Linked DNA regions of Drosophila melanogaster. The gene in region 2 interacts genetically with the main gene of each other region. Each region holds a gene or a part of one and is shown on either strand. Other genes may lie near its edges.

Region 1 (5,869 bases), 7.1 Mb from region 2:
TTATTTGATCAATAATTGGCAACATTAACCGCAAAATTTTTCTCAGTACAACAATGAGAGAGCCCAGAGAAAGCAGCTGTAGAGGTGGAATCAACAAATGAGCGTGAGCCCCATTCCCCAAAAACAAAAAGAGCGGCAGAGAGCACACGCGGGGGAGTGTATGTTTGTATGCTTGTGCACACACACATACACCGTATTTGCTTGTAAATCAAAACACGCAGCCAAAGGTGAAACATGAAAAATGTGCGCGCCAATAAATGTGCGAAAGGTGTCGTGGTGTGGGTGCCGCATGGATTGGTGTTGGGATGGATGGATAGAGATGGTCGGATGGATATCTGTATCTCTGTGGGCCATGAGCATTGGGCATTGAATATTGAGAGCCGACTTGGCAGCTCGCAATTTTGATGTCCAATTTGCCACGAAACATGAACTAAATACTTGTACGCGAATGTTTGTTTGCGTGTGTGGGCATCTGGTTTCGTGGTGTTTATGCTGTGTGTTGGTGGTGGTGGTAAAAGGTAACGAAACACAAGGTAAAATAAATTCAACTCAGCTGGCAGCTGCAGCCTCTCAAAACGCACTGTAAATAAAGGTGTAAATACAGCTAGCTGGTAGCAACAATGCAAACTAATAATTCGGCCACCGAAGCAAATAGAAATCACACCTACAGTGATCGCTCGCTAAGCGAAGCATTGTAGTGCTCATGTTTTAGAAAATAGATTATCTTGGAGAAGAAGAACAAATAAACAAATGACTTTTTTCGATTTTACAATAGGAATTATGTAAACAAGGATATTTTAATTTAAACCCGTTGAAAATGTCCCATCAAATGATCTTAAAATTTGTATTTGTGAGTAGACCCATCCGAATTCAAATGTGCAATGATTCTGTGAGGCGTGATCGACGAGATGCGGACGCAGTGGAGCGTGAAAATGCATTCGGATGAGCATCGGTTGGCCCGCATCGCATATTCATTCCCATTCAAGATCTCGCATTAGCTTACGGCTCAGTTGGTCGACTTTTGAAAGGCGAATTTTAATATGCGCAATTACTCATTTGGCGATTTTGCGCCTCAATGTTGTTTGGCGCGTAGTTTCCCACACACAAACACACAGGCATCGACACTAGCCGATTTGGAATTTGCCTTTTTGATGGCAAATAAAAAAATGGCGTCAACAAATACTCAAACAGCCAATGTACAAGTACATATATTTATTTTGTAATTATTCAACAGCTTCTAGGCAGCGAACGGCAGCGGCAATCGATTTAGCTCCTGCTGCTGCTGAGATCGTTTTTCATTTTATTGTATAATTTATTAAAAGTTTCAACAGCGCCAGCAACAAAACAAACAGCAATTTTAGTTATACAAACACTTTGGCCATGTGAGCCCAATAGAGAGAGAGAGAGAGAGAGAAAGAGACGGTGAGAGCGAGAGAGTGATTTGATTTAGAATGAGGCGACAACAAAAGCAATTAACTGGTCACACATTAAGTTTTATTTATCGGCGATGCTTTATTATAGCTCGCCGCTGTGTGTGTGGGTGTGTTAGCGACTGTCATTTACCGTTCGTTTTACGGGTGGTAAATAATGGAAAACGTCGTAGATGGAAACTTGCAGTAAAATCCCCCTGGCTAACAGAAAACGAATAATATTGTTTCTTATAAGAATGAAATATTTGATGGATTAACTTCAGGAGTCATATGATTATATGATAATAGATGTACTTATTTTAAGCAAAAAATATTTCGCCTCCTCTTTAAACTGTTAGTATTAGATTAAAATAAAAATATTAACTAATGAATTCGTTGTTAAGAAAGTTGTTATTAAATCAACAGGTTTTCCAGAAACAAGACTTGCTTACTAGTACTACAAAATAGAACAAAACTAAATCAAAAATGCTACCATCTGCTGCTAGTCGCACTCAACGAGGTCCCACTGTAGACATAAATCGCAGCGTGGGCCATAAACTAACAGTATTTGTTGTGCAGCCTAATTTGCATTATCGAGTGAATAATTGAACGACACTTTCCTATTCTTTCTAGCTAAAAACAACAATCTAAACTACTGACTAGAGGTCTACAAAGGTTAGTGGGGACTTTATGAATATGAAATCGACGGGATGGGATATGATAATGTGATGTGGTGTGCAATGGTGTACAGTATCTCCGGGTGCATTCCAAATCAATATCTGGCATGCTTATATATGTGCGCAAATATCCATTGATATATATTCACGGCAGACTGACTCATCGGCAGCCGGCGACGCCTTTTATCGCGGCGATCTTATAATTACCTTGCTGTCGAGCGTGTATCCAGATGCAGATTGAGATTCGATACCGTTTCAGGGGTTGTTGTTACCATTTGGCATCCTTGGTGCACGAATATAATACGAAAACGAAAATAATCCACACTTGGGACAATTTCACAACAAAACGGGACAGAAACACACGCACTCAAAACACTAGTAAACACAAAATACAGGGGTGGAGATTGCGATTTTCGTTTTTATTTTCGTTCACTTATTTCTTGGTTTTTGCTTTGGCTCTCACATTCGCCGCTCTCTCACTCTGTCGCTCTGCGCTCACAAAACAAACGCACAGGTACACGCACACACGAACCGAAATGGCCCGCTCTCTTGCTATTTCGTTCTCTCTCTCGCGCCCGCGCGTTTCGTATATACATATGTTGCTACGTATGCGCGTGTGTGTGTGTGCGGGTGTCTGTATGTATGGGTTTTACGACGATGAAAAATGCCTGCTTCTTCTTCACAGAAATCAGGTTTTCTGCTCTCGATTTTCACACTTTTTTAACAATTGAACGCCACAAATTCGATGTAATTTCATTGGCAGACACTGCATACCATATTCACACACACTATTTAGCACAGTTTATCAATTATTTTCCACATTTTCTGCGTTTTTTCGACGAGCGAAATGGAAATAGCAAAGCAAAACGACCGGACAGTGTGACCGCGCCGATAACTATAAAAAATACTGTGAGACTTACAAATAAATTCATGTGTGTGCAGACCTGGTCACACCGATATTTTAGTAGGGTGTCTCTGCTCTGCGGGGTGTGTGTCTTGGTTAAATACGGAATGTGTCTCTGCTAGTTCAAAGACAAAAGCGTATTGCTACAAAACAGTATTTTTCAAAATTTAAAACCACTTTCGGTGTAACTGCTAATTTGTTTAATTTGTGGTAATTAAAATGTTTAGAATGGAGTGTACAAAACACATTAACCTTGAATTTTTGAATATCCAATATTATCACACTTTCCGTTCAATATAATTTTTAAGTACCCTTCGGTATCTTATTGGGAAAGAAGGAAAGAAAAGAAACCGCTTCGGTAAACAATTTAAAAAACAGGAGATTTTCCTAGTCCACATTCTAAGTGGCAAATATCAATCACCTCATTGGCAATTCCATTATGCCAGTATATGAAGTTCGGATTAGTTGCGATTTCATAATGAAGCCATAATGTGCGGACACACATAAACAACTTGTCAGCTGCGTCCACTTCGCATTTGGTTCTTTGCCAAAGTTATTAACCAATTTTTTGGGAAGACACCCAAAGGCTTTATGCATTCGCAAGGCGCGATGTAAACAAATAGATTTTGGTCAACGAATCGAACGTGTCCGCTCAATTAGCACATATTTGATTCACAATGTAAATCCAACTGTTGCCGGGCGAGAAGCGTAGGGCGGTAATTCGGTGGCTTAAATCGACGTCATTTCGACGACGTTTCACCGAAGTGAACAAAAAATTCGCAGGAAATTGAATCACTGAGCGCCTGTAAATTTCTTGTTCAGTGACAAAAAATGGTAACCCACATTCAGAAGATGTTATCTCACAAAAAGGCATTGCAATTAACCTTATTAGTATAGAAAGTTCACCAAGAAGGACGTGTTAATAGTTGTGGCCTGAATTTAGTAATTACTTATGTAAATAAAAATAATAAATAACTAAATATTATCAAAATAATATAATAAAATAAAAAAAGTAATAATAATGAAACTATAATCATAACAACCATTATTGCTAGTAAATGAAATAATTCAAATGAATGCTAATAATAGGTACTAAATCAATTTCCCTGGCATTCCTTCTATTAAACACGAAAACATAAACAAATTGATCAACTCCTTGTAACTTGGACTATCAGCTATTGGCAACACGGGCAGATCGAGCTTTGTTTTTGGCAGCTGACGCATTCCGCACCTCATGGTTAGTCGGTCCGTTTAGGTGCGCAGTGATAAGGGGTATCGATAACAATATATGTATATCTAACATGGATTACCTTGTACTGTGACAGTCATTCGGCGCTTATCTGGGCCGCAAACAACACGAATTCGTTGGCCTAATCATAATGAAAGTCTTGTTTTGACAGCAGCAGCAGAAGCAGCGGGCGTATAGCCACTATCACCGGATTTCCAAAAATAGTTCTTCAACTTTTACCGCAATCTGCAATGCAAACGATGACGTCCGCGTTGGTTGGAAAATTTCCAGCTCATCGCTGAAAAAGGGATTCCTCCACAGATCGTGGGCTTATCATGCATGCTAATTAATCCTATGACGAACTCGGGAAAAAAAAAACAATAAAACCTAATAGAAAACGCGAGGAGCTTGATAATCATTGTACTTGTGCACCTGTCGCCGTCATCCAGTTATCATTTAATAATCAAGATGAGTGCCAGAAAAACAGAGAGAGCTGCTTAAATGATTATCACAAGTTTGCGGGTACATACTTACATACATACGATTATTTGCGTACAGTGTGTGCCATCTATATAATATTTTAGTTTAGATTATTAAATGCAAGCTATTGTCATGAAATCTAATAAACTTAATTTAATCAATTTAATCTAATAAAATCAACATCCAGTTAAAACATGGTTTTTGTAAGGGACACCACTGCGTATGAGTGATCTGAAGTGGGAAAGTAAATTAAGTAAAGTAAAACTCGGATGGTTCATCACACCATGCAACCACTGTGCCTGTAATATTCTCTTTCCCTGCTGGCTAGTCCAACGTGTTTGCTATCACCATTATCACTCGAATTAGGCACAATCATCTAACGAATTCGTATGGCCCCTATGGTGAGTACTTGGAAAAGTAATTCCAGGTTGGAGAAGTGAGCAGTGGAAGCAGTGGAGGCAGTAAACCAACATCCACGAATCGAATGAGTATTTGTGTGCACTTCCAGTGCGCGATAATGCCATTCTTCAATTCCAGCCGAAGAAACCGAAAGCCGAGAGCCCAGCTGAACGCCCAAAGAGAGTCTTCTGGAAGAGAGTCTACCTCGCCGGCGGCGGAGAATCGTCGCTCGTCGCTTGTTCGCCAGTCATTTCAGCAGTCACTTGTTTTTGAGTGCTGCTTGGAGTTGGTCGCTCGCCTGCTGCGCTCTTAGTTGTTTTGGCTAAGTTCACTTAGTTAGTGCCTTCGTTTAGCGGCGAAAAAGCTGGAAAAAAACGTATAAAATATATCGCGTTGTCGTCGCCGTCGTCGTCGTTGCCGCTTTTGTATCTGTGTTTGTGAGTGCCGAAAAGATGAATATATAGAAATACACACAAATAAACAAAAATATTATAAAAAGAAGAGTTGCTATTAAGTGAAATATATGCACAACAATTACTTAAGTTAGAGAACGGTTACTGTCGTTGCCATGGGACAAACGTAAAGCCTCGATTGTGTGTATTTACACACTCGGTGATCTGCGCTGCTCCTCTCACTCATTTGTATTGTTTCAAAACAAAAAAACAAGGCGATGGAAAACTAGAGAAACCATAAACAAAAGCTGCTCGTTGTTGTCCCACAGAAGCAGCAACAATCAAATTAATAACTTAAGTAACAGCATCAACACGAACGA
Region 2 (5,869 bases):
CCAGAGGATCATTATTAAACAGAAATGCGCATGCCCAAATAATAACCCCCTGATCATGTAAGATTGAAAACTCCAATTACTCGCTTTGCTCAGTCAAATAAACAATTACAAATGCCTGCAAATTTTGGAAAAATATATGGATAGGTGTGGTTTTAAGAGTGCCGGTATTACCTTGAGTAGTTGCAGCTCTTCACGGGTTCGGCTTCACGTTGACATCAGATATCCATCGTAGCAGCTTCTTAAAATTTCATCACTCTACTTACCTTTTAACTGAATAAGTGTAAAACCGCGCGATCTCCGTCCAGCATTTAACAAATATGCATCGGACAGCAGATCTGCCTAGTGCTCTTTGTCGATTCGAAATAGAACACAGGCCCGTAAACTACTTATTAACTAATGGCCAGCGAAGTATAGCTTAAGTTTGTTCAAAACAAAATTAAACGCACTTTGCCGAACTCTAAAAGGACATGATCCGCTTGCGACGCTAATAGATTTGGAAAGTGTTCAAGTTTGGAATACATATGTGATCTTTTTTTTAACGTGTTTGCATTTCGCAAGCGGACTTAATGTCCTTTAAATATTGCTTATATCTATTGGCCTCTGGCCATGTATGCTTTGCAATTCAACCAACCTTGAGCCTCTGTGTTGCCCTGATCCCCGCTGGTGTCGACAAACGATGATTCACTGTAGTTCTGGGACTGTTGCTTGACCACAGCCTTGGAAGTGGTCGCCGTCACTCCGCCACCGCTCGTATTTGCCGCAGTCTGGTTGCCAGCATCCTCGTTTTCAGTGAAGTAGCTGTCGTCGTAGCGCATGTCTCCGTAAGTATCGTCCTCCACATAGGTGCCCTCGGCATCGCCGGCGGCGTCGCCATGGTCCTCAGAGTAGTCAGGTTCAGATTTCGTGGGCAATTCCATGGGGAGATCAATGTACTCGGCTTCCTCCTGTCGAACCTGCTGCGGCGATTGCTGGTGGAGCTTTGCTTCTGCCGCAGAGACCACAGAGGTTTGCACGGTGATCTGTTGCGGCACAAGTTGGGCGGTTGTCGTGGCTCCAGTTTCAGTGGTCGAGTCGAGAGGGTCCATAACATTTGCGGAGGTGCTTGTCTTGGAGCGCTTTACGCCGGCGCTCGAGGAGGCGGGGGTCAGGGAGGAGCGCTGGGCAGAGCGTTTGTTTGTCGACACCAGCGTCGCCGTCGTCGTGGTTCCCGTCTGCAGCTGCTGCGATTGGATCTGCTGCGCCGCCTGCTGCGGTTGCTGCTGTTGTACAATGGTGGCTTGGGGTGCGGCCGTGGTCTGGATGACGATCTGGGTGGTGCTCTGTTTCTCGTCGCCCAGGCCGTCGTCCACGGTCTCGATCTTGTAGCGGGCGGAGGCGCGAGGCTGCTGGCGCTGCACCCGCTGAGCCGGTATTTGCTGTTGTTGTACATGAGGTGCTGCTGGCGGCGGGCTGGATTCCTGCGGCGGCTGAGGCGCAGGATCGTTCTGAAAAAAAAATATTGGTTTTTTAATTATTAACATATATTTTAGGAATAAGTGAAAAGATATTTTGTATGTTCTAGCACCTCTTTAAAAATGAACCACGATCAAAACTTAATAAACTTTAAAAGTATCTGCATTTAATAAAATGGACGATTTCAAAACTATATGTTGAAAAGAATTATTCCGTTAGAATGGAATTTGCAAAGAAATAAGAAATCTGGCCATTAATTAGTAAAGTACGCCTTCCTTGAATTGGGAAACAATAATACATTTTCTAGTTCCGATGCCTGTTTCTTTAGGTACAGCTGCACTAAATTTAATTTTGCAAATACGTTAATTTTAGTCGAAAACATTAAGAGATATTTCCCAATTTAAACATTAGTTTAAAAGCAAAAAATGTTTATGCTTTGGCATCGAATTCGCTGCGAGACAAAAACAACCACTCCAATTTGCCGCTGCCGTGCGAGCCAGAGCGAGACAAACGCTTCGCGTATAGCCCCTGCAGTTGTCTCTCTCTGGCACGCGTGCCTTTTGGCATTTGGTTTGCGAGAAATTTCTCGGTACAGTCAAACCATGCTCTTATACAGACGCCAGCCATCGCGTCTGTATGTATTGGGCGCGAAAGGTTGCGTTGTAGTTGCTCGATTCGATATACCAGTATATCACGCACACAAATGTATACATATACTCACATCCGTTAGCCCCTTGATTTGCAGCGATTCCGCGGTGCTAATAAACGCGGGCAGGGCGTCCTGCTTCACGTTGACCTCGCCGCAGTACATGAATTGGATGAGGTCCTTCAGCGCCGAGTGGCTGACGTTGTTCAGGAATACTGCAAGATAGGCGAAGAGAGTATAAGGTAAAAAATCACGTAGAGCTACAGATCTGAGCTGAGGGGCACAAACTCACCGATAGCGTGGGTGTTCGACGGCATCTGAGTGAACATCTTGCGGAAGAAGGGCGAGCAGACGGATAACACCAATCGGTGGGCCTTCACTATTTGGCCCTCGGCGGCCAGCGAGACGTCCACCAGGTCGCCGCGGCATAGCGACTCGTGGAAGCCGGCCGACAAATTCGTGTTGAAGTTGTTCCAGCACAAGCTGAATTGCTCGTCGTCCGCCATCTTGGACGAAAATCAATACTTTTCTGTATCTATGCGTTTGTTGGCTGCAGGCGAAAAAGTGCAATGCGCGTTTAAAACTCAATGCAGCGAGTGCTGAAAAATGGCAAAGGCACACACAAAATAGAATGCACTGCAGCCAAAAAAAACTGGGAAATTTTCACGCGTCTGTCTGTGTGTGCGTGTGTGTAAATTACATTTATCTCGCTTAATGACCGCAACCTACTGTGTATATTCACTTGGGGCGCCATTACTCACCTCTTGACTAAATATTTTTCCAATAAAATAACTAACTAAAGCCAGAGTTTTTTGCTAGCGCGGCCGACACGCAGAACGCGTCCGAGTTCTTTGACGTGAAAATTAGAAGTGTTACCAGGCGACGAGATTGCTGGCGATGGCAAAACAAAAAGTGACAATATATCGATAGCTTAAAATATTTATATCGAAATACTTTTATGAATATTGATAGTTGATGTGCTTTGATATTTTTTTTTTAAATGTTAGTACGAAAATCACATAATTAAGTTCATAACTTTTTGAAAACTTTTACATACTTTAGTTTACATATGCTGTAGGATTTTAGTTTGCGGGTGTGTTAAAAAAGGTTGTAGGACTAAGAAAATATCGGCCTAAGTATACGATGTATTTATGTTATGACGAAATTTCTTATTTCACAACAGTTTTGTTGTCTAGCTTAATGTTTAATTTATTTTAAATGAAATAAAACAAAATACAAATTAACGAGTTTAAAGACTAGCAGTCAAACTAGCACAACTAGAATAAAATTCATAAGATAAACAGAAAAATTTTAACTTTTTTAAATTCTCCTATTTTTTAAACTGGGCCTTCGATTTTTTACGAATGGAGGATTATTTTCTAGCGGAATTCATTATAACTCTGACAAACTCTTATGGAGCGCATCGTCACTACGTAAACCCTACACTCTGAATGCACAAGGGCACTATATTTTTAAAAAAAAAGTGACTTAATAGGATTATAAGAAAGGCAAATATTCGCTAAAAGTTCTTAAACATACCAAACAAAATATGTATGTACATAATATGTATATCTGTGTACTGTATGTACATATGCACTACATATGCAATTATATACATATGTGAACACGTTTTTGGTGCAATGCCAAGATTCGAAATGAAGGTATTCATCCCATAAAGGCGAAATATTATTAAAAATGTTGCTCTATTTAGACAACTTCACATATCCATGTTATTCATCTCTATTAAATCATAACAGTTTCAAGTGAAATAAACAATAATATATGAGAGCGTAACGTTTAAACCAAACATATTCCCCACGATTTATTTATTTGTTAGCTTAGTACACTCTTAAAATCAAGTGTGCGAAAATCTGCACTTGAGCGCCACTTGACAACCGTTTAATACACAAGACGCGCGGACAAACGTAAATACATGGGGACTATAAAACTTAAGGACTTTACGATAATAAATACGGATACTTAAGCTCAAGTAGCGAAACAAAATCAGCATAAAGTGGCTGCGAACAAACAACTAATAACAACGGGGAGCAGCTGGAGGAGTCGGTTATTGAATCTGATAGTCAGGTACAATGTGTGCGATTGTGCAAAGATACTTTCATACATGCATACAAGCATACATGTTTGGAATTAGTGATGGACAGAACTTAAAATATATTGTCAATACCATATATATTCTTAAGCTATTAGATTAAATTTACAAATGTAATACATAAATTAGTTTTTTATATTTGGATACATATTTTATAAATCTCCTAAGCATATGACAGCCTCGCACATCTCTAGCGCAGAAGAGCGAGATGCCGCACTCGCATTCCGATGCTGTGCTGTGATTGGCTCCGGGGCGGCCATTTTGCCCGTATGCTCAGTTCGCTCACACACATCCAAAAACACAGTGGCATGAGGCGGTCTGGGGTGAAAGGAGTACGCGTTCAGTACCAAAATCGAGCTGACAAATTGCAGACACGGTCGAGTGCGCATCGGAACGGCGCTTTACGGCTTACGGGTTACGGACTACTGATTGCCGATTACGGGCTACGACTCACTTACGGTTGCGCTAACGGTTGCGTGGAGTGTTTGCTCGATTACTGGACTACCGAGATTCCAATTCAAGTGTCGCAAGTTCAAGTGCGATTTGGCAAATTGTTGGACTTATTTAAATCGAAGTGCTTCTCAAGTGGCCAAGTGATCGCACAGCGAGGATGTTGCAGCACCATCAGCAGCAGGCTCAATCGGGTGGCTACTACGATCACTACACTCAGTCCCCCAGTCCGGGCAGCCTGACGAACGCGGATGCCCTGAACACCACTCCATTTTCGGTCAAGGATATCCTGAACATGGTCAACCAAACGGAGGCCTACGAAGGTTCCTACGGGCATATCGATGGGTAAGCTTGGAAGTTTTGAATCAATTATACATTAAGGGTCAAAAGCAACTAAAAATTGGGGTACACCAATAGACTAGTTCCAAGGTACTGTGTTCTACATGTTACCAAAATCTACTAAATCGAATCAGTGTACATATATGATATAAAACTAATTATTATACCGGTTAACTATCTAAATTGCAATGATTTAAGAAGGTATCTGTGCAGTTCAGAGAGAGACCAACTGTTAGTTGAGCCATTTTTAGCTATCAACTGGCATACATGGACATTTCCACCACTTCTACCTGTCAGTGACTTCTTCTCGAAGACAGCGCCCTTCCCCGTCCCGATCGCTTTTATTTATTTTTATTTAATAGGGCTCCATAGGAAAATTAATTTCTACCAATTTTCCAAAGAAAGATAATATTTTGATAACCTTCCGCCGAGACGTAGCAGAAGAAATCCTATGAAAACACATAGAAAGCATGAATTGCAAATAGGATCTGGGATCGGAGAGCGTCAAGCGTTGAGCGTTGAGCTCGAGGCTTTGACAAATCATCGTTATTTGTACAAGAGGCCGAAGACAAAGACGAGGAGAGACAGTGTTAACAATAAGAACAACAATGTCCGAGGCAGGCAGTCGGGAGTCACGGCGATCGCTGGTCCGCCCGATCCCTTCTGGGCTGGTCAACATGTGTGATTCGCATGTGTGGACCGCCGCACAGGGGCGTCCTTAATTGCCTGATGAGCCATGAAATGATGTCACCATGGATCCTGTCGCGCCAGCAGGAAGTGGGCAAAAAGTCCTCGTCCCAGCTCCCCGGGCTGTGTCCTCCGTGATGCAACATATGGCGGCCATATACGAGACTTTGTATTGCCTTGTTTCT

The links. A genetic interaction does not mean that the proteins touch.
Region 1: of mod(mdg4) (region 2) and trx, changing one enhances a phenotype caused by changing the other (phenotypic enhancement), as found in Drosophila melanogaster (2 studies listed by BioGRID).

Annotation. Positions count from the first base shown.
Region 1 is NT_033777.3:14,283,916-14,289,784, forward strand, and holds the start of trx (trithorax), read right to left. Parts: upstream 2,989-5,869; 5' UTR 2,294-2,988; intron 1-2,293. UniProt on the Drosophila melanogaster protein: Histone methyltransferase that methylates 'Lys-4' of histone H3 (H3K4me). H3K4me represents a specific tag for epigenetic transcriptional activation.
Region 2 is NT_033777.3:21,374,429-21,380,297, forward strand, and holds the start of mod(mdg4) (modifier of mdg4), read right to left. Parts: upstream 2,974-5,869; 5' UTR 2,860-2,973; intron 2,649-2,859; 5' UTR 2,605-2,648; coding exon 2,391-2,604; intron 2,314-2,390; coding exon 2,174-2,313; intron 1,485-2,173; coding exon 632-1,484; intron 1-631. Other genes in the region: tin (tinman), read left to right, coding at 4,819-5,003. UniProt on the Drosophila melanogaster protein: Component of the gypsy chromatin insulator complex which is required for the function of the gypsy chromatin insulator and other endogenous chromatin insulators.